Struthio camelus: one gene and its partners. The protein of the gene in region 1 purifies or fractionates together with the protein of each later gene. This does not show direct contact. Links are inferred from orthologs where the notes say so. Each region holds a gene or a part of one and is shown in the gene's direction. Other genes may lie near its edges.

Evidence for each region.
Region 2: the proteins of LIG3 (region 1) and APTX purify together in Homo sapiens (affinity purification with mass spectrometry; 3 studies listed by BioGRID and IntAct, with this or other methods). This does not show direct contact. The link is inferred for Struthio camelus from reciprocal best matches to the Homo sapiens genes LIG3 and APTX.
Region 3: the proteins of LIG3 (region 1) and TDP1 purify together in Homo sapiens (affinity purification with mass spectrometry; 4 studies listed by BioGRID and IntAct, with this or other methods). This does not show direct contact. The link is inferred for Struthio camelus from reciprocal best matches to the Homo sapiens genes LIG3 and TDP1.

Annotation. Positions count from the first base shown.
Region 1 is NC_090957.1:14,942,411-14,949,943, reverse strand, and holds the start of LIG3 (DNA ligase 3), read left to right. Parts: upstream 1-4,490; 5' UTR 4,491-4,731; intron 4,732-5,302; 5' UTR 5,303-5,322; coding exon 5,323-5,869; intron 5,870-6,351; coding exon 6,352-6,495; intron 6,496-7,533. Other genes in the region: PHD finger protein 7-like, read right to left, coding at 2,822-2,867. UniProt on the Homo sapiens protein: Isoform 3 functions as a heterodimer with DNA-repair protein XRCC1 in the nucleus and can correct defective DNA strand-break repair and sister chromatid exchange following treatment with ionizing radiation and alkylating agents.
Region 2 is NC_090982.1:10,368,326-10,375,633, forward strand, and holds the start of APTX (aprataxin), read left to right. Parts: upstream 1-4,228; 5' UTR 4,229-4,342; exon of another isoform or gene 4,343-4,488; intron 4,489-4,612; 5' UTR 4,613-4,619; coding exon 4,620-4,749; intron 4,750-5,713; coding exon 5,714-5,760; intron 5,761-7,308. UniProt on the Homo sapiens protein: DNA-binding protein involved in single-strand DNA break repair, double-strand DNA break repair and base excision repair.
Region 3 is NC_090946.1:64,624,984-64,633,020, forward strand, and holds the start of TDP1 (tyrosyl-DNA phosphodiesterase 1), read left to right. Parts: upstream 1-4,971; 5' UTR 4,972-5,081; intron 5,082-5,797; 5' UTR 5,798-5,801; coding exon 5,802-6,348; intron 6,349-8,021; coding exon 8,022-8,037. Other genes in the region: EFCAB11 (EF-hand calcium-binding domain-containing protein 11), read right to left, coding at 3,263-3,289. UniProt on the Homo sapiens protein: DNA repair enzyme that can remove a variety of covalent adducts from DNA through hydrolysis of a 3'-phosphodiester bond, giving rise to DNA with a free 3' phosphate.

The DNA of each region.
Region 1 (7,533 bases):
TTATACTCTCTGCATCAGAAACTTCCTGTCAAATATAATTTTCTCCAAGAAGAAATGAATCTAGCTGAGACTTTCCAAAACCCATCCAAGTGATTTGGATACTCACTTCTCATTAGTATTAACAGCAAGTGGGCATCAGTGTCTCCTAAACACCTTTGGAAATCTCTGACATATTTTTTGTGGCTCTTCCGTGAATCTTTGGGTAACCTGTACTAGAAATGACAAATTTCACATTTGTTTCTCTGTACTCAAGATATTCACAATTTCCATGCACCAAATGTCAAGATTTTCCCTCAGAAAGACAGCTGGGATGTGATAAGGAGGACAGACAGACTTTTGCTGTGTTTTGATTAAAGGACAGAGTTCACATTCCAAAACTGTCTCCTCTGCAGAGGGCTGTATATACCAATTTCAGGATAATACCATGTTCTTCATCTTTTTGTCACAGCCCTAGGCTGGCATGTCACTGCGATGGCAACAAGGATGCTGAGAAGTTATGTGGCTGCATGTGGTTGTATGCACTGAATCACATGCAGCATCCTGGACAGTGCTATCATGGAGGAAAAGGAGGGGTGGGCTACTATACATACACCTGATAACACGTCCTACAGAGGGGAACAGTTATTCTTTTTAGAGCCAATATTTTTTGTTACATCTTAGATCATATTTAGTCACACTTCTGGTTCCAGGAAATGCCTTTAGAGTCCATAATTTAAAAAAAAAAAAAAAAGAAGAAGAAGAAGAAGAAGAAGAAGAAATACAAACTGATTTGTGAGTTGGTAACAGATTATATTCTCCCCCACGTCACCCAAGTGAGGACCACAAAGAGGTTTGTAAGTGATTTTACTCCAGCTACACCCAACTTCTACACTTCAAGTGTTGTGCAGGCACTGAGGTACTTGACTAGTAGGTGAGAAATTTCATTCATGTGAAGCTGACCATAAAAAGAAATCAAAAGTCATTCAAATAGAAACTTTTCACACATTTAGAATCCAGAAATCCTCTCAAACCAAAGGCATTGCAAACCATTTCAGACTGAATTACCATGTACCACTCAATAGTAGCTTTTCCTTTCAAAGCCCTAGCAAAGTAAGTCTTGCCAAGAAGTATATATGCAAATAAGTACTACTGAGATTCCTTACATGGCTTCTTGATCTGTTATTTATCTGACATCACTTCCCTTTTTTTCAAATGTATTTCATGTATATATGCCTTTTTTCTATAATCTCCATCTCTCTTATCTCTTTTATTTTAATAAACCACACGTCCAAGTTCAGTATCTTCTTTAGCAGCTATACAAAGAGACACATTTGTTCACTGCAGTTATTAAAATTCTAAACATCTTCCTCCTTTTATTTGATGTTAGTGAGATTCTGGACATTTTCTTAATACCAAGAAGACTGGATTCATTGGAATGTAAATTCGAAAGAAGTCTTGCATCAAGGCTTTAATTTCAGTCCAAAAACACATCAGTTTAAAGGTATCTCCAGAAGATCTGAAGAAGGTGAGCTTTTTTTTATGAAATATTTTCAACACCAGTTTAAGATGAAGCACCTAAAATTGTTTTTTCTTCTTAACAACGAGGAAAAAATATAAAACTTGAGACCATCATTTTGCTTTCACATATTTTTCAAACTCAAACAGAACTGACGGCCACTTTGCTTAAGGATGAACAGACTCAGTCCTTTAAATCTGACTTATCAGCATTATCTTCTCTGTATTAATGGAATAAACTAGTAATAACAATGTTGTATTTTCCAGGGGCCCTCTCTAGTAGTCTGTCATTGATGACTCACATACAAAGACAGCATTATGTTCATAAGAGGCTCATCTCACTATTAACTATTCCAGTAGTACCAATTCCAGTATTAACTCTCAAGAGAGACCAGCAAGTGATCCTTCACTGATCCTTTGAGAAACTGCAGCAATTTGTTTCCTCATTTTCTCTGTGCTTTCTGTGAACTCAATGTCCTGCAGTTTTGTGGAAAGACACACACTGGATATATTGCTCTATTCATAGCTACTTGAAGGTACATCTTGGCAAAAGTGGGAGTTAGAGGATTTCATTCCAATAAGACTGTAAAACTCCAAACAATTTTACTTCCTCCGCTTGTAAACATATTTTTTGCACTCAGAAGAACAATGAATGCTCATCGTAACTTCAGGGGAAGAAACTGCACATGTTGAAAACTTAAGAGCAGTGACCATACGCAAGGGCCTTCTGGCCCCCGCTAGTCAAAACTTTCCTATCACTTACCTATTCACTTACCTGTCCAAACCGCTTTCTAAACCCCCTCCAGCCGGAGAAGAGCCAGAGGGCAATTCATCTCACCCTAAGTCAAGCCTCTGCAGGCTCCTCTATTGATTATACACAGAGCCTAGCTTAGACCACATTGCTAACTTTTAGAAATTAGGAAAGTGAATCCTACTGGTGAGAGATCGCTCAGCAGCTGCCTTATTTAAATCAGATTACGGTACACTGCAGTGAGTGACTCTCAGTGTCAGCCCTTGAGTCCATTTTTCCTCTCCATTTCTTTTACTAGGCTCAAACATAGTGAATGAGAGCTCTCACCAAAGAGGATGCTGTGAATGCAGTGCGCTAGCCGGCGTTCCCTGCCAGCTCTCTCTGAACAGTGTACCCACCCCATTTCTTCCTGGGTTGGATTGTTTTTTTCCTTCCCCTACAAAGAGGCCACTGCTGGGCAAACTGGCACCAGTTGCTGTTGGTTCTGTAAGCCACTTCCCAAAGTACATTTTTTGGTAAAGCAACCTGATCTATTACAATTTTAAAAATTTAACTGGATTAAACTTGCACACATACCTTTACTCCAAGTCTGCCAAATGCATGCTCTAGGTACTGAACGCATACATAACTCTTCGTTTAGGGTGACCAAACATAAGCACAGTGCATTCTGGGCATCTTCTAACAGCTGTTGTGAAGTCCTTAGTAAATTCTCTGAATCCTTTTACAACTCCCTTCCTGGGGCTCAAAGCTCCACTTCAGTTTGGTTGTAGGAGCTTGCTTCTTTCGTTTCAGGGTTCTCATGACCTCTGGACTGTGAGGGAGAGGAAGGTATGTTTCTATTCCAATACCAATGATTGAATACACTGTCCAAGAGGATAGTACTGCACCATTCCCTGAAGACAGACCCTAAATGAGGACAAGAGGAAGACCGACTGCTCTGCAGTCAGATCCTGTTGATCAGATAAATGCTTATCTCATGAACTTCATCCTAGCTTTGTGACCTGAATTGTCTAAGGAGAACACAGTCATTTCAGTCATCCACAGCTGAAAATAGCATGATTGCTATAGCTGACAACTAGTGTGCTGAGAAAATGAGGGAGACTGCCTGCAGTCAGCTTTGCAACTAGTTGGAGGGCAGCAAAAGGACTGGCATATGTGCCTGGTGAAGCAAATCCTGCACCCTACGTGTCATACTCAGCCCCAGACGTACTTCGTTACAGGCAAAGCAAGTCAGGCCACAACAACCCGCACAGTGCCCTTTTTCTGCAGGAAGGCAGGTATCCAGTCGGAGGTGCATACAGTATCCACACCGGCCTCCTCAGCAGCCTCCCGGCACAGCATGACAGAACTCTCACCACGGCATAAGGAGAAACAGCGACAGCTGCCACCACCAGAGAGTTGGCAGCCTAACTGCAGGCAAACACCCATCTGCGCTGGGACGCAGGGCCATCTTCATGGTGCCAGGGTGATTCAGCAGCGCCTCAGGAACTGCACAGACACAGCCCAATGCACTTACAGGGCTGCTCTGGGAAGGCCGGGTGATATGGCAGTACCTCAGGCCCTTCACAAACACGGCACAGCACTCTTGGAGAGCTGATTTTGGGAGGCTGAGCGATACAGCAGCGCCTCAGGCCCCACGCAAAGATGGCATGGTGCTCTTGGAGGGCTGATTTGGGGAGGCCGGGGATACAGCAGTACCTCAGCGCTGGCACAAAGATAGCCTAGCGCCCTCCGGGGCTGATTCTGGCGGCCGGGAGTAGAGCAGCACCTCAGGGCTGGCAGAGACGAGGCGAGGCGCCATCTTCGGGGGCCGGGGGTAGAGCAGCACCTCAGGCGCGGCGCAAACACAACATGGCGCCCTCGGAGGGCGGATTTCGGGCGGCCGGAGACAGAGCTGGCGCAGCACCCTCGGAGGGCGGATTTCGGCGGCCGAGAGGAGGGCAGCGCCTCGGGGCCGGCGCAGACGTGGCGCAGCGCCCTGGGAGCGCCATCTTCGGGGCCCGGAGGAGGCCCTGCGCGAACACGACGTGGCGCCCTCGGAGGGCGGATTTCGGGCGGCCGGGGGCAGAGCAGCGCCTGCGGGCCGGCACAGACGGGGCGCAGCGGGCCTCGGGGGCCGGGGCAGGGCAGCGCCTCGCGCCGCCACAGGCCGCGCCGCGCCTTCGCCCGCTGTCCGTGCGCGTGGCGGCGGGGGGAGGGGCGCCCCGCGGGGGCGGGGCCGGGGCGCCCAGCGGGAGGGGTCGCTCCGCCTGGGGGCGTGACTAGCGCCGCGGGGGCGGGGCTTGTGGCCGGCACCGCGCGCTACACACGGGAATAGAGCGCATGGGCAGAATAGGGCGCCTGCGTCATGCTCTACGGAAGCCCGGAGGGCCGAGTTTAAAGGGACCGCGGTGGCGGCGGCTTTCGCCTAAAGAAGGGGGGGGAGGGGAGCGAGAGGGGGGCGCCGGCCTGAGGGAGGGCGAAATGGCGGCGCTGTGAGGAGCCGGGTGAGGCCTTCACCTCCGGGGTCGCCCTGGGAGCAGCCGGGGAAGGAGCTGGGCCTGTGGCGGGGGACGGGGATGGGGACGGGGACGGGGACGGGGCCTTGAGGCAGGCTCGGGGGGGGGGGAGAAGGTGCTGTGGGGCAGGTGTGGGGGGGATTGGAGCCTGGCGGGGGGAAGGGGCTGTGGGGCAGGTGTGGGGGGGTTGGAGCCTTGTGGGGGGGAAGGGGTTGTGGGGCAGGTGTGGGGGGGGATTGGAGCCTGGGGGGGGGGAAGGGGCTGTGGGGCAGGTGTGAGGGGTTGGGAGCCTGGGGGGAAGGGGCTGTGGAATAGGTCTGGGCAGGCTGGGGCCCACGGAGGAGCACTTGTGGGGCAGGCTCTGGCATAGTGGGGCCCTTGGAGGCGTCAGGGCCCAAGGGGAGAGTTGGCTGTGGAGCAGGCCCAGGATGGGGAGGTGTCAGGATCTATGTGAGACCTTGCCCCAGCCCCACATCCCGCAGGCCAGGCGCGAGGCACAGGCCCCCTTTGGCCTGTAGGCCAGTGGGTGGTGGCTCAGTGTCTCTTCCCTTGCTTGCAGCCCAGCTTGGAGCAGGCTGGATGCCCACAGGCACTAGGACACTCGCACAGGCTGCCTGGGCACTCGGCAGGGTCACAGCTCTCTGCCTCCCACACGCACGGGCCTTCTTGCCAGGACCCCTCATTTGCTGCGTTGACCTCCCCAGAGCCAGCCCCAGCTTCTGGTGCCAGCTGCTGGCAAGGACCAGCTCTCTCTGGTGCGTGGGTGGTGGTGCTGGAGGTCTCCGTTTGCCCCCATCTTTGCATGCTCAGCCTCGCCAGGCCTGCACAGCTGCAGAGGACATGGCAGAGCAGAGGTACTGCGTGGACTATGCCAAGCGTGGCACAGCAGGCTGCAAGAAGTGCAAGGAGAAGATTGTGAAGGGGATGGTGCGTATCGGGAAGATCGTTCCCAACCCTTTCACGGAGTCTGGTGGGGATATGAAGGAGTGGTACCATGTGAAGTGCATGTTTGAGAAGCTAGAGAAGGCCCGGGCTACCACCAAGAAAATTGAAGACATCACAGATTTGGAAGGTTGGGAAGAGCTACAAGATGATGAGAAAGAATTAATCAACAAGCACATCTCAGGTGAGACACAAGGAGGGACGTGGGCTGCTTTTTTTGGGCCACAAGGTATGCCACTGATCATCATGCATTTCCCATGAAATCCTCACTAACGCATTAGTATGACTTGATAAAAAGGTGGGGAGTGATCAAATCTATGTCTCAGCCCTATAGTAAAGACAAAGAAGTAGTCACTTCTTAATTCATTTCTTGCAACTGATTATGCAGAAGGTCTCGGTGATTTAAGTCATATGTAGACGCTTAAAGTTCAGATAAATCCCACCAAGAAACAGCAGCTGTTTTCCATTTTCATCTTTTTCCATGAACTTTAGCAAATTCTGTAACCTTTTAACTTCTGCTATTCGAAAAATGTTCCTTCATTTTTTCTTCCTCAACCTCTAGTTGTTTTAAGACTTGCGTGTTGCAAAATAGCTTATGTTATATGCTGGGGGATGTTGCAGATTATCTCTGACTGCCAGTTTGAACCCTTACTTTGCTGTTTACAGAAGCTACTTCCAAGGCTGCAAGTACACCGAAGAAAAAAGCAACAGTCCAAGCTAAGCTCTCTGCCACTGGACAAATAACCAGTCCCAAGAAAGATCCACTAAGTACTGTCAATCCATCACCAAAGAAGTTCTCTGGCTTCACAGGTAGGGGTTAATAAATTGATTCTGGGAAATACTTTGCTTCTCTTTTAATATTAGCATCAGAGGTGTTTTAATTTGACTAACCTTTTTTTTTTTAATTTATAAAAAATGGTTTAGTTTTAACTGAAGTACTTTTATAAAAAATATCTAAATGTTCATGGAAGGGAGAATGGTTGTTCCTCAGCACCTTGTCCTGAGAAGCAGCAAGCCAGTCAGCAGGCGGGCACTGACTGGCCAGTCGGCAGACATGTAGCTCTGAACCAGCCAGAGCGCATGCTGCCACACACACAGCCAAAAAGATGAGAATATGGAGGGGTATTGGAGAATGTTATGAAAAGAGGTGATGAGGACATGGTGAGGAGCTGCATAGAAAAGCTACTGGTATGAGGAATATTAACGTACAGAACTAGCCTGAACTAGCCTTAACTCCACTGCTAATGGACCTAATTGCTTTATGATTGCTTATTTTGAGTGCTTTGCTGGTTCGCTGAAAGATACCATGGGTTCTTTTCTGCTAAAAGGCTGCTGGCCCACCTGAGGTCAGAAAAATACTTAGTGGCACTTAGTAAAACAATCATTCTGTACCAAAAACGTAAAGGTTTCTTTTTTGATGCAGTTAACTCACACAGTTATGCTATACTATGTAAGGCCCTGAGCATCTTCATCAACTTTGAAGTTAGCCCTTCTTTGAGCAGGAGTTTGGACTGGAGACCTTTGGAGGTACATTCCAATCTAATTTTTTCTGTGACTTGTGAGATAGTATAACATGCTGGGCATGGTTCTGCTCTGCCTTGGTAACTAAAAATGCTAGCTAAGAAAATGACAGCTATTAGTTTGTCCATAGAAAACAATGTATGGTTACTCTGGGATGTTCAGAGCTACATTGCAGAGGCTAGAGAACAAAACACCATTTGTTCAACAGGTTTCCCTCCCAACTTTTCTTCTTTAGACTTTTTTGCTATCTGTCTGAGTTACTTTCAAGAGACTGGGCATTGCAGAAAAAAACACAGAAAGAACAGGTACAGAAGTTTTTAAATGACC
Region 2 (7,308 bases), on another chromosome or scaffold:
CAAGGCACGCTGGCCATGCTGAGGTTCACCAGCGTTTTGGTCCCTGGAGCTCTTTCAGGATTTTCTTAGAAGAAAACAGTTCTATTCACCATTCCCACTGTCCAGCAAGAGGATGTTCACATGAGACCATGGTGCTTCATTTTTAGATAAGGACTTGCAGGTGGTGTGATCGCTGGTGCCAAGTGTGAGCTGCCTACAGCTGCCTCGGTTACAATTAGCCATGTCAGTTCATCCTGCGGCCAAGGGGTACGTGCAGCACAGCATAGCCTTGTGCCTACTCAGGTTAACTGTTGCGTGGATCGCTACGCTTCTTGATGTAGAGTAGCATTCCAATTAGGATTCCTACACTCCACCCCTTGATGCACATACAGTTGACTCTTTCAAAAGATACTGTAAATTGCAGGTTACACCAGTAACCTTTTGACTACTAGAAAGATTCTTACAAAGTGTTTACTGCAGTTAATAATGAAAGGGCAGTGAGAAGTGAAACAAACACTGGGTGAGAGAATAGGTGTAGAAGAGCAGTGTCACTGGAGCTAAAACTACCGCAGATTTCCAGCCACTGGGCAGGAGCTGCATTAGCTATTTGCCTGGCAGTCTGGATAAAGAGTTGATTCTGATGTAGCGCTTGTAGTTCTATGACATTGTCCTGCTTTTCAGTTTTTAATCAGTTGATTGAATGATATTTAAGGTCAATGCCATCCAATAAAGGCTCTCCAGGGTTGCCAGTTCCCCTTCAAATGTTGACATTATTTACCATGACTCATGACAAGCTGTCAGCTGTATACAAGGAGGCAGAGGTATTTTTGGCAGGAAATACTTTGCCTATGGAACCTGTGGTCTGATTTATTAGTGCACTTACCTGCTATAACTGACTGCACAGGACTTGAGATCTAGAGTTAAGGGTTTTACTGCTTAATCGTAACTTCATCTGGAACAGTGCTTTTAGGTAGGCTTTGGTTGGATTTGGGTAGGGTTTTCCACCCCTTGAATTGGGTTGACCTTTTGTAATGGGTCCAGTGTGGTCAATATGATGACTATCCAGCAATATCTCAAACCCCCTGAGTTTGGTACCTGGCCCTACAGATGGCCATCTCTCAGCTCAATCTCAGCGACTGAGTGTTCACTGATAAGGCTGTGCCGCAGCAAGGTCTGCTCTTGCCTCACAGGTGTTCTTGAAAGGGTGAGTCAGTCCCCAAATAGGCTGTTCTAATCAGCAAGTGGTACACTGTATGTAACCACATAGATTTAGGCAATACTTTACACAATTAGCATAAACAACATTACAATTGGATGTGTTTTCCTGTGTGGCAGCCCTGCAGTCTTAAAGGCACTATTCCAACATTTTTTTTCTTATAGGTAAAATAGGCTTGTGATGGTATTCAGTTATTCATCACCTTGGTAATTAATTTGATTATTCATAACCTTGGATGATTAATAACAAAGATTAATAATTATCTTTGTTCCACAGGCTGGAATATTTTCCTTCGTAGGAGCTTCAGATATAATCGGTCACAACCCTTTTTTCCTTTTTGCTTTCCTCCATCTCTCCTGTCTTACTGATAATAAACAGACAGCTTCACACTTACAGATCCAGGGATGTTAGGCATAATTTTACTATCCTTTCTTTCTTTTCCTTTTAAGGGAAGGTGTTGACAGATTATTTCAGATCATATCGGGTTAACTTTTAGAAACACTAGAATACAGCTGTTAAGCTTGGTTACCAGGCAGATATGAGTACTCTCTAATACGTTTCTATGCCATCTTCCTTTAATATTACTTCTACTCTGGTTCCTAGGTTCATTCCATTACTTACACACTTGGTTTAAAAAAAACCCCACACATTGCTGAAATGAACAATTTTATCTTTAGGTCTGGCTGTTTCTGTTCAAGTTGTTCTTCAATGGATGACCTTATAAAACAAAACAAAAAGACCTACCAAGGCCATCAGGCTATTACAGTTTGGCTTTAACTGTAACTACTGAAACCATTTCTCTTAAGATTATTTACATCCATCTATTACTTAAGTTTGAACTGTCTCTTTATATTCATTTTTCTTTATGATCAGAATTTTTTAGTACATATTGAAGCATTTTCCAGCCGCTTCTGGTTTCTTGTAATGGTGCTGGCAGTCAAAGATGCTGGCTCTTTGTATTATAGGCCTCTTCTTGTTCTGCAAATGTGTTTCTAGGGCTCTTATCTGTTTCTCACATTCTTGTGATTAGCCTCTGCAGCAGGACGGCAGGCATCAGCTATCATTTCTCCAATAGCTTTGACTTCCAACCTTCAAACATTTAACCCTTCCGTCTCTGTTCACTGTTCCTGCAAGTGAGCAGAGGCTTTATCACTTCATTTTCTTTCTGCGCTCACCCTGTGAGTGATAGGTGTTATTTTCTTTGATCGGGTAACAAAGTTAAGATTTGTACCTTTTTCCTCCCAAAGGTATGGTTTTCAACCAAACGGGGTAGTTTTGATATCTTGCCCCATCATACAGGCTGATTTTTCCTTTCAAGTGAGGAAATCCTTTTGCAATTTATGTAACTGTTTTTCCAGCTTCCAGGGAACAAGAGTATACAGGCTTTGGTGTTAGCCTGTTTTCCTGGCCCTTTGCCTACTCTATGACCAGTACAGTTTGCTGGTTAAGTTGTTGGCGTGTTCCTGAATATACTCCTTCAGTGATAACACTGTGGGTACATTTGCAAAAGGATAAATCCCCATCTCCTCACACAGAGCTGTGTCCTTGAGGATTTGGGAATGCTCACAGCTGAGTCGACATAGAGCAGCTGAGCAGCAAGGACTTCAGGAGCCAGGCAAATCCAGCTCCCCCCCCCCGCCCCCCCAGCTGCTGCTCCCTTTTTGTTTTTTTGTGAACCCTTGGTCAGCTTCAAGCTAGTTTATAATTTGGCCAAGGGTTGGACCCTGGCCGTGATGCGAGGTTTAAGTGTAGTGGTTAAGTTTATGTGCATGCTGTATCTCTGGTGAGGCCCCCTCCTCGCACGAAAGACCCCAGCCATCTAGCGGAGCTGTGCAGTTGCTTCCCCGTAGCGTTTACAGGCACGCAAGATCCCTGGTGAAGTCCCCACAGACCCCAGCCAGAGACCCCAACCGGCCAGCTGATACCTGCGCTGGCTGCCCTGAAGCCTAATGACTACCAGCGTTACAAGTGCAGCTCGCTGACACTTGCACAGGTTCTCCTGCTGGAGGGCCCCCCCCTTAATGGGACGAGAGCTTCTGCCCTGTTGGATTATTTGACACGCTCTCATGGTAGCCATTGCGCTAGTCTCTCCACTGCTTTTTTTGCCACTAAGTTTCCACAATGGCCTGCAGTTGTCCTGGATGCTGGCGGCCCCTTTGCTTTGATCGCAGCTGATGGTCCCACGCCAAGCGGGACACCACACTTTGCCTGGAACCTGTTGCTTACCATCAACTCACTGCCTACCCTGCCCTGGATGGCAGGGCCAGCAGCGTGCTCCTTCCCACCGCTGGGATACCCGCACTGGTTTTTCCCGTATCTTACCAATCCTTTGCAACTCCTCTATCTTGTCAAAACATTCCCACTGCCATTTCATGTGTATCGGAACAAGCGCCTACAATGCAAATCCTGATTTTTTCCTTTCCTCTTTTTTTTTTTTTAATTTTTCCTTCCCCAACCGTTGCTTTTGAGTTGATATTCCAGCTGAGGTGGGACATCCAGATAACGTCCCCCAGATCGCCGGGGAAGGTCCCTGGGCCCGGTCCCCCTTCGGGCTGCGCTGCGGGGCTCTCCTTTGCCCCAACCGGGCCTGCTCGCATCGCGCTCCGGCCGCCTGCAGCCGGCGCTGGCCAGACCTCGGTACGGCCGCCTGCCCGCGCCCGTTTTTAAGGATAATACGAGGTTTAATCGGAATATTTAGCCAAAGAGCGGCAACTAAGGCACGCGCGTCCTCGCGCAGGGGCGCGCACGGCGCCCGCCGCTCCCGCCGCCGCGCTCGGCCGCCCCGCAGCAGCGCCCTGCGGCGCCCCCTGGCGGCCGGTCCGGTCGCCGCAGCCCCGCCGGCACACAGCCTTGCCCACTGCGCCTGCGCCGTACCGCACCACGCTGCGCCTGCGCCTCGCCGCGCCGCCCCAGCCCGCGCTGGCTTAGCGCGCCTGCGCGCCGCGCCTCCCCAGCCCGCGCTGGCTCAGCGCGCCTGCGCACGCCCCTCCTTCCGGTCACGGGGCACGCTGATAGCGCCGCCGCGCTGGCGCCAGAGGGCGGCTTGAGGTCACGTGAGCCGCGAGGCGGGAGCTGATTGGCTGGGCGTGCCGCGTTGCGCTGCCGGCGGTGCGGTACGGGGCGTGGCGCGGCGCGGTGCGGCGCGCGGTAAGGGGCGCGGGCCGGCGTTGCCATGGGGACGCGGCCTGGCCTGGCCCGGCCTAGGCCCGGCGGGGCCCGCGGTGGCGACGGCGGCGCGTAGGCCGGACGGCGGGCCGCGAGGCTTTGCCTTGACTTTCCGAAAAGCGATCCCGGTTAGCAGGAGTGTCTCGGGACGGCAGGCTGGTCGGAGGCCCTGCCGGACGCCCCTCGCCCCGGCGGCAGCCAGCCTGCTGGGCAGCCGCCGGTCACTAACGTGCTGTTTATCTCGCTCCCTAGGGCGGTGATGCACGTGTGCTGGCTGGTGGCCAGAGAGCAATGCCGTCCGCGAATCAGGCTGCCCCACTTGGGAGCGGTGGTGGTTGGACGTGGCCCCGAGACTGGAATAACAGATAAGAAGTGTTCCCGGCAGCAAGGTAAGACTGAGCACGAGTCCTGCTTTCCCAGTCTGGTAGTTGTCAAGCATGTGAAAAGACAAGTGCAGCACTCACGATAGGGTCATGCAGATCGATAAACCTCATTTTTTTGCTCAGCTAAATGGCAGTGAAGCCACGGAAACACTTTTTTGGCCTTACTTGTAAGCCTGCTCTGTGCAGTGTTGAAATGGAGTTGGTAGTTCTTCCTTGAAATCTGAGTGGGGTTCCTGTAGGCTTATTCCTGCATCCATTGGCTGTTGATCTCTTGTCTCAGTATGATACACAGAGCTGCATGATTCCTAAAGCCACTGAGTTTCTTACAAGCACTTAGGAAGACCTCTGGGTTCTGACAAATCTGAAGAAACATGGCCTTCTTACTGAAACAAAGATAAGAAGTTGATCTTTGTAAACTAACGTATCGAGCCCTAACGTGAGTCCCCAGGTCCATAGTCCTGTTCAATTGCCCTTGCTCTCACTTGGCAAGTGGTGCTAGTCCTGCCCTGACTTCCACCAACTGATTTATAATGGGATTTCATAAACTGGAATTTCATAAACGCATTGGGAGAAATCACATCTTGATCTGTAAAATGCCCCCTGCTTTCCACCTTCCCCGCCTTATACTTCCATTCTGGACACAGCCCTTTTCCCTGCCATATTGTGACAGAGCGCTGATGGGAATAGCAAGAACTTGTAAAATTTTTCAATAGAGTTCCCCTTTATTCTGATGCAATTTTTGCTGATCCATATGAAATATGCAGGTGTGACTCAGTCGTATGGGCTAGTCCCATATTACCAGTGATCCTGGAAACACTGAGACAACATGGCAAAAGTCTTCTTCTAAAAGTACTCATAAAATCTTCCTCAGAAGGTAACACAAGCTTAAAATGCAGGCCTGTTCTCTGCCTTTCAGGCCTTCTTATTTACATAGTTTTATGATGCTTTTTCTTTCTTTTTTTTTTTCCAGTACAATTAAAAGCAGATTGTAATGAGGGTTATGTCACAGTCAAACAGGTATGTTTTCAAATGGATGTACAATATTTCTGATACTTACTGAGGTGGTCGTTACCCTTACACTCCACAAATGCTGCAAGTGATGGTTCTGATCACACAGCCTGAACGGCCTCAAGCTGTTCTGTGATCAAGGTGAGCATGCCAGGTAGTCCTCAGAAGGGCTCTCTTTCATCTGTGTACCTCAGTGCAAAGGCTGCGGTGCTCCTTCTAGACATACTTGCGTCTCAGAGAGCCAGAGCTGCAGCATTAGGGAACACTGCCTTGAATACTCAGGCTTTTCTTCCTCCAGGGAGTATGTTTTGGAGACTTCAATGTGCTTGCCCTAATCAAGAGGTTAACTTACTGACTTTCCTCCTAAGCCTTGCGTTTCTAAAGCTGAGGCAGCCCTTCATTTAAGGTCAGAATGGTTCTTACTGCACTGATGAGACTAGGCTCTATTAGACATCAAAACAAAAACCTTTGAGAACTGTCAAAATTGTGGTCACCTCTAGGGAGCGAAGGGGTTTGAAACAGCACTGAAGGCATTCTAAAGTTATTAATTGGGAGGACTCAGGCCTACGCTCTCGTGTTGTGGTCCTCATACATATCTGAGGTGTCAGGAAGGGAAAATTCTCTGGCTTCGAGTGCTGAGGCGTGTATGTGTGCCCACAGCATCAGCATCCAGGCAGACCACGCATCTGTCTACTGATGAATAACGTCTTCCATCAAAATGTCCCAAGAGCTCAGCAAGTACTTGGCCCCGCTGGTTTCGGATGAATTCTACAAGAAACTCTTAGATACGATTTCACAGAAATCAGCCTTAACAGCCGTTTGAATATGATGTTACTGGAATCTTAGGCCAGGGAGTACCCCCTGGTGGTGGCAGTTAGCACGTTTTCTAGAGCTGCTTCCCGTGTTTGGTGTGTGGCACACAGTGTTCCAGTGATCAGCTGTTAAATAACATATTGATCACGGGGAATGGAAATGTACTTAGTGTGAGTGAAACTTTACCGGTTATAGACCGAAAAGATCATGGCTGGAATCTGGGATTTGTCACAGGCAGTATCAGCTGATGAGATGCACAGTACCATCTGGTGAAACATGCAGGTACTGCAGTGACAAAGCTGAAGAAAGACTTTGTGTCAGAGTCCGTCAGTCACAAGCATCATCTGGCTTCCTACAGTGTGTACCATGTATAAACATTAACCAAAAGCATTTTGCTGAAGCCGGAGACTCCATACTTCCATAGGGTCGCTCTCATGACCAAAATGTATCTGCTTAAGCAGGCACTGCAGGTGTCATACTTACACATGCTGGGGTGGGCAGGGAGCTTTAGCCTCTCTTGAAAGAAACAAAGTATTGTCACCAGCTCTGTTTAAACATAGTCTTATGTGGGCTGGGGAAGAGTTATCAGATATGAATTGAAAAAGAAGAAAAGACGAGCGTGAATCTGATCTCTGGTTTCTTCAGAGTGGACTCCTCTAGGGGACCTCTCTAGACTGTTTTTGTCCAGTGTCCCCTTCCCCCCCCTCTCCCCCCCCCCCCCCCCCAGTGCAAGAGGAAGTATGT
Region 3 (8,037 bases), on another chromosome or scaffold:
AAAACACCACTGACGTTTTCAGAACTGAATTAGTGGCTAACCAAGAGATTACTGGAAAAGGTCTTTAACCAATTTATTAAACAGAATGGGAGTGTATGTCCAAGAAAGCACAGAGGTCCACCTATGGCTATAGCTATACCGCTTTTTAGCATGACTGAGTACATGATCCTGAGACCAGACTCTCACATCTACGCTCTTAGAATACAAGACCGCGCATACTTGTAGTGCCGAGACAACCAACATGCAAGGAGATGACATGTTAGCAGCTCTTAGCACAAATCTAAGCATACCCTTTTCTGGAGAACGGATCAGTCAAACACGCTGTGGCCAGATAGCCTTACACCACACATTGCATTTGGCCTGCAACACTTTTCACATAGACTGTATTGGGCAGATAAATGGTCTAGGGAGTCCTTTTCAAACATCTTTAGTAAGAATGCCAAAAGAGCAGCTGGAATTTATAAGCAGCCCTGAGCTCAGACTGCCCTTCTGTATTCTGGATGCCAAGCCGCTGGCATCTTGTTCAGCAGCAGATGCCGAGCTACCAGTGTCCTAACGTGAACATACGGAGCCAGGTCAGGGAAAACACCGGACATGCTTTGTAGCCTGGCACAGTGTATCTTTCTAAGCACATTGTAGACAATGCTTTTATTTAGATCTAAAGGTTGCACTGAGTATTCAGAGTGAGACTTTGGCTGGGACAATGACAGGAAAACATGTGAATGAGATGAGTTTCGAGGTATTTGTAATACAGTTTACAGCCAACAGATTTTACTACCTTAAACTACTATTCCTGCAGTACCCTTTTTGTTTGAAACACCTAGGATCCAAATGTGCATTTAGCGAGCTGAATGGTTGTTGATATATCAGAGAGCATTTTAGATCAGTTTAAATAATTTGGGTGCAAAGGGGACCATTGAATCAAACTTTTAGAAGAAAAAATAAAAAGATCTCCCACTGACACGATCCCCACAATGCTGCTAGTTTCCAGAAATTATGACTTGTATATGCTGATAAATGTATTAGATTTACTTTCAATATCAGTCCAAAATTCAGGTTTATCTTTCCATTTTCATGCTTTCCTAGTTACCTGTCTCAGAAGGTTTAATTTTAAACAGTAGCAAGTTCCGAACCACTAAGAATAGCCATATGAAAATAGTATTTTATAAAAAACGAAAATAAAATGTTGTTATACTTCATCAAATGATTTGGAAAAAGCAAGTGCAGTAGGAATGTGATTCAAATTTGTAATTTGCATTTCCTCCAGTAAAGAGGTTTTTGGTGACATCTTGTGGGAAAAGTTAGTATTACTTTTTATTTAAAGAACAAACAGAAACCTGAGCTATAAAAATGACACATTAGCTATTTACCAATTTACTAAAAGTGCAGGTGATGCTAAACAACTGCCATTTCTACTAAAAAATTTATTTTAGCGTGTACAATGGTTTAGGAAACAATTTTGCCGCAACTGAAGTAGTAACATATACACACCATTTCCTATTTCTTGGAAAAGCTCTTGAAAGTACTGTGTCAGGACTGGTTTTAGTGAATTCTGAGGAAATACAAGTGCTGTTACTGTAGTCTTTTTGATTTTAGTTGTTTTGACAACAAAGCAAAATTGACATTAAAATACTCAAGACCTGGATACTACAAATCACAGTTTAAGTCCTGTGCTTGGCTCCTATCTGGTGAGAAAGCTATGTTTCTCAGAACTGGATTAAAACCACCAAACTGCTGAAGAGAACACTTGCAAGGCCTAGCCAACAATGAAATACAAAGGATGTGGATGTGCCATACCCCACAATTAATACACATTAGTAAAAGCTACAGAGAAAAGCGTCTGTCAATTCAGTGCTCTCTCAGTATTTCACAATGAGTGAAAAATTGGAGAAAGTAAACAGTTCCTGGAACTGGGACCACTTAAGGAGCTAGCAAAAACGACAGGACCACAGAATCGCTCCTGGAACAAATATCATTAATTAACTTTGTGTAGCTGCACAGACAGAATGGTCTACAGCCAGATGGTCAGAGCCCTGCCTTGAGAGACAGCAAGAGTGACTTGCCACTTTTTCAGGAAGAAATATCTACACTTGAATCCTCTTGTCTCCTGGGAGTCCTTCACCTTTATTCTCTTCCCAAGCAAGAAACATCAATGACTTACACACAGAACCAGTCCTTGTTTGAATGCCGTAACCATGGTTTGAGTACTCCTACTGGAAGAAACATTTTGAAAATTTAAACAGAAGAACAAGCTAATTCTCATATACTGACTACACACAGGTATAAGCCAGATAGACTAATATAGTTGAAAGACTGCCCAGGAACCAAGCATTAATAAAGGCATATTAATATCAAAAGCAAGGCTTGCCTGTATTTAGGGTGCAGTTTAGGATGAGGTCTGCCATTCTGTGCAGCATTTAGGGTAAGGGGAAGCTGAGCATTTTTTCATGTTCAGAATTCAGCAGTTAAGACTCAATTTAGAAGCCTAAGTTATTTTTAGATCTGGCCCTAACTCATTTGGAAAATGTTTACCCACAGCTGAAATACATCAGAGATGACTATTTTTACACTTTAGTAAAAGTGTTTTTTCACTTTAACTGATGTGTTCTTTATGCTCTTTTTGAGATCACTTGCACAGCTACAGTAGGGACATAGTTTATAGAGGTGCATTAAGCCACACGATTTATCCTTTATCTTCCTGTAAGTACGCAACACATGGTTTCTTCCAATAAACCTTTCTTTTCTTAATATCTTCATACAGCTATTGACTTATATTGTCATGACTTAAAAAGCCCAACTTTCACTTAAAAGCAAAATCTCTTGTTAAAAGCATATCTCTTGTTAAGAATATGTGTTTGTTATTATGACATGCAGTAGTTTCTTGCCAAATAGTACCACACAGTAAGTAAATGCAGTGCATCACTAGTAAGAAACAATAATTTGGATCTCATCTCCAGCTTTACAATAAGCTCAGTATAGCAATTATTTCATGCATCTTGTACACGTATATAGCGCAGTACATCCATCTGCTAATCACAGTCTAGAGCAATAACTCCTCAGTGGGAAAGGTAGTGATTTGATTATTTTCTTTCGAAATAAATGCTCTCAGATAACAAAATTTCTTTAAGAATCTGGAAGTATTTTGGTTTCACAAAGCTAGTGTAGTCGGCTCCAATCAGTACAGACCAGTCTGTAAAGAGTGTCCTCACTGAGTCATTGACATATCCTGAATCTTCAGAATATAAATGATAGAAATACATACTTTTGAGGGTTTATAACCAAACAGCATTGCTACGGCAATTTTAAAGTCCTCTCTGCTTAAATAGCCTTTGTTATCTTCATCACATGCTTCAAAAACCTACAGAAAAAAATATTTACATTAAAAAACAATAAATCTGATCTGAAATACAAATTTTTACTTAGCATAACAGTTAAGGGAAAAATAAAAGATATTTACAAAACAAGCTACAGAAGATTAGTCCTATTTCAGTCAGAAACCTTGTCTTACACCAGCTGAAACTACTATGATTAGTCTATTTAATTTTAAATTTTTGGTAAGTTACAATAAAATTTATTCTATTTCTGTGTTTTATGCACTTAACAAAGAATTGCATACATATTCTGTAGCAGCATATCTGGTACAGAATTGTAGACACCAAATGACACTAAATTTTGTTTCTACCAGATCTTGATTTTTTTCTTGAGACATGTCAAGCATATTTAGTTCTCACTAAAGCCACTCTACAAGCAGGAACTATGAGATGGAGAGACTGGAAAGCTGGCATAGTCAAAAGCTGGCAAATTTTCTCAACTATTTTTAGAAGAAAATACACTTTCCACACTATATGCCTAGATAAGAGATTAAGCATATAATATAGAAATACAGAAATACCTAATTCTCATAAGAGGCTTTCCCCTCAAAAGAGCTTTAGCAAGCACTGATAAGTCGTTACATGTTTTCACATTTATGTTGTAGCATTGAAGAGCATATCCGTAAGTTGTTTCAGGAAGAAGCATTACATGCAATATTATGTTGGAATTCTGCAGAAGAGTACTAAGGAAATTACACGAACAAGTGGAAGTTTCATTAAGGCGTTGCTAGGTGCAGTTTGCTGATTTTATTACACTCTGATACAAGACACTTGCATTATTTGTTAACTGCAGTCACAAGCTGGTAATAAATTAGAAAAATGAGAATCAAATGCTCTGACAGTTCACTTTGTTAGCTAGAGCCAGCTGTGATGTAGTCCGCGCTCTCACTGTGATTAATTGTACACCTGTTTTCCTCCCACTCCCTTCTTTAGCTTGTCATGCAGTTATCTCAACAGCCGGGCGCTTCAGGCACAGTAATTAACACTGAGCTGAATGAACGATTACGCAAATACTACACCTGCCCTAAACTAACACTAACGCCCAATGAAGAGTTACTAGATTAATTCCCATCCCCAGGACGCGATAGTTTCGCCGCGGCAGCAGCCGTAACAGGGCGCCAGAGCCGCCTTAACACCTCTAGATACCCGCTGCCCCTCTGGAGGGACGAAAAAGCTCTTCGGGAGTCACCGGGCACCGACGGGACGGAGGACGGAACTCCCCTCAGGGCCCGGAGGCGGCGGCGGGCACCCCCCGGGCGCCGAGCCAACGCAGCCGCCGACAGAGCGGTGCGGAAGCCAACGGCGGCCCCGCTCCGCAGCGCAGGGACCCGCGGCCGCCGGGGGGGAGGCCAGAAGGGGCCCGGCCCGGCCCCCGCCGCCGCCGCTCGCCCCTGCCCCGCGAGGCCCGTCACGCACCCGCGCGTAGCGCGCCCCTGGCGGGGGCCGGCCGGCCGGCCCGCCCGCGGCAGCGGGCCCCGCACGCTGCCTAGCAACCCGCGCGCCGCCGCCGCCGCCGTCTATTGGCGGAGACCCGAAGCGCGCCATTGACTGGGGGGCGGGGCAGAGCAGAGGGGGTGGAGCCCGGCCGCTGCCGCCTCTTATTGGCTTGGCGCCGCGCGGGCGCTAGGGCTTGGGGGAAGCTGCCGTTCTCCGGAACGGAAGGGGCGGGCGCAGGCTGCCCGCGGCACGTTGGCCGGCGGCTCCAGCGAGGTGAGCCGGCTTAGGGCGCCGCGGCCGTTGGGGCGCCGCGTGCTGCGGCCTCGCGCCGCTTCGGCGGCCCCGGGGGGTGGCCGGGACTGTCGGCGCGGCTGAGGGCCCCGGCGGCGGGCGCGGGGCGGCGGGGGCAGGCTGGTCCCGCAGGGGCAGCTGGACGGGGGGCCCTGGGGCCGGAACCGGCTGTCTTATTGCAGGCTGTGGAGCAGTTTCGTTTATAAATGGAGCTCGCTTGCCCACAGTCTTGTTTTCGGTGGAGTAGCTTTCGTTTCTCGCTGTGGGTGGAGCACTAATAATCTGTTACGCCTGTGTTTCGGTTCTGCCCCTGTGTCTCTCTAGGATAGTGTGCTAGACCTGATGGTTGGGTTTGGCAGGAGAACTATCTGTGATGAAAGTCGTTCCTCTTATTTTCTACGCGTGCTCCCCTTCTAGCTACTTTTGTGTGTGTGTGCAAGTTTGTGTGCTAGCTGCTTCTTCTTTGATGGTCGCTTCTGCTATGAGTGTTTCCCCATCTCCTGGGTGCAAAAACAAATAAGCTCTGTATGCTATAAAATATATCCTAATCAGAAGTCTAGAGATCCTGTCAGTTAAGAAAATCATAAAGGTCGTGGAGATGAGCGAATGGATGCTAGGAAGGAAAAACGGTCTTGAGCGCAGCAAACATGGTACAGCTTCATGGGTTTTTTGTCTCTCCTCCCCCCCAATCCCCCCAGGAACATGCTTCAGGAAGGAGCACATGGAAAATGGACAGTATCTAGCAGTGATGAAAGTACTGAAGAAAACTCTGATAATGAGAAGCCATCTACATCTTTGTTCTTGCCTGCTGTGCATGGCAGAACAAGTGGGCCACAGTATCCATGCTCTGAAGCTAGGAAAGCTGCTCACAAGAGAAAAGCCTCTCCACTGAGGTTCAGTGAGAACAGCTTTTCTGCAGAAATACGTCCAGCAGAAAAACAGAGACCTAGCCAAGAAGGTTTAGGCTGGTGTCTTTCTAGTAGTGATGACGAGCCTGAAGATCAGGAAAAGCAAAGGCACAAAGAAACGGTGAAAGAAGAGAAGGATTATGCACCTAAAGAGCATCCTCTGAGTTTTCACAAAGATAATGAACTCCCAGAGAATCAGAAGGCAGAGGAGCATTGTGAAGCACCCAGCGAAGCCCAGGATACTTGGGATTTGTTGAATGGAGGGAACCCTTTCAGATTTTTCCTGACTAAAGTCAGAGGAATCAAACAGAATTATAATTCGGGTGCCCTACACATAAAAGGTGAATAGATGAGTTCTACAGAAATGGGCTTTTTGAGAGGCTTGTGGGCAAGAGAATGCCTTTTTTTATAATGCATGTATTCCTTGGTGTAACTGAAGCTTCAGATTCTAAATATGCAAGTTATAAGAATTGGTTCTGTTATCTTCACCTCTTTCTTTTAGAGGTATAGTGCATGGCATAAACCTGTTGATACTGATTTTTTTTTTCTTACAACTTCTGAGTTATGCTACACAAACTTATGTTTGCTTATCCAAGGTGTATCATATGGTGCTTATTGCTGCTTTCCATGTGAGTTCATTTGGGGAAATCCACTTCCCTTTGTCATCTTAAAGGGATGTTTTTCCTGGGTGCATGACCACCCTCCCAGATTGGTTTGGACCTAGTAATTTACTGTTACTTCATACTGTGCAATGTATCATTTCTAGAGTCTTGCTGCTGGAATTTGTAGTCACTCTTCAGTGCAATTGAAAGTAAGCATAAATCAAGATGAAGTCTTCAGTGTACAATAGCAATATTTCAAGAGTACTTTGTAACTTAAGTTTGTTGTAGCTGATCTGAAGGGGAGGAAAAGCTCTGCACACCTATAAACATCCACTCATTCAGAAATCTCATGCATCACAAGACAGCAACAAAAGCAACTATTAGTTGGGTGTTTGTGCACAGAAATCTAGTGAAATGGGATATGAATTTCTGTAGTGTTGTGAGAACATGTAATTGAAGACCATACAGTTAGGTTATGACTGTTTACCTGATATGTTCCCTGTGAGCATTTGCAATGGAGGATGACGTGATGTCAGAGACATCAGTTGCATTATGCTGTACATCTTTATCTACTTTGTGAATGTACTGTGGCTTTTGAGCTTCCTCCTGTTAGGAGTGCTTACTGTGCTAGGTGATTCCCTCAACTTGGGGAGAGGCTACGTTTTTTGTTTAATGGGCCAAATGAGATTTTTTTTTTTTTAGAGGAAGGGCATAAAATATGATGTCTATGCTGGAACGTATATGCAGGGTGTATTTTCAAGTAGCTGCTGTGCCTCGATTACTGAGGTTTTAAGTATTTGAGCTGTTTAGTGTTTTGTGTTCTTCCCAACAGTAAAATAGATTAAGGGTATGCGTTGCCCTTTACTCTGTAATCGGTCTGCTACGTATCTCATTTTAGTTGCAACTTGAGTTACTATCTGCCCCCAGCCTGCATTGATCAGCACATTCTCAGACAAGACTCTGGTCAGTTTACCTTTCCCTCTCAAAATGGGGAAGAAGAAAAACATAGAAAAAGGGGAGATTGGAGGCTGTCTAGAGAGAAGCTCCCAACAGATAAGTCTTTAATTGTTAACTATGCTCTTATTGCTTCTACCTGCCACTCTTCCTTAAGCAATCTTTCTGGGGGAAAATAGTTTGTCCCTTTCTCTGTATACTTTTGGTCTCTCTCCTAATGACCTTTTAATTGTATTTTTTGTTTTGACAGGGGTTACTCTTTTTAGGACCATAAGACCTGAATTACTTCATAGCAGCATCAGTGACTTGAGTATTCAAACTGTTAGATTTAGTCATGAATGTCTCTGTTCTGCCAAGCCTGTGGACATTGTGGTGCTCGTGTTGTAGTAGTTAAACTGTTCAAAATGTGAAATGTTTGTTTGTTTTTAACTCAACTGTGCTTTAATATTTTTCAATAGATATTTTGTCCCCTCT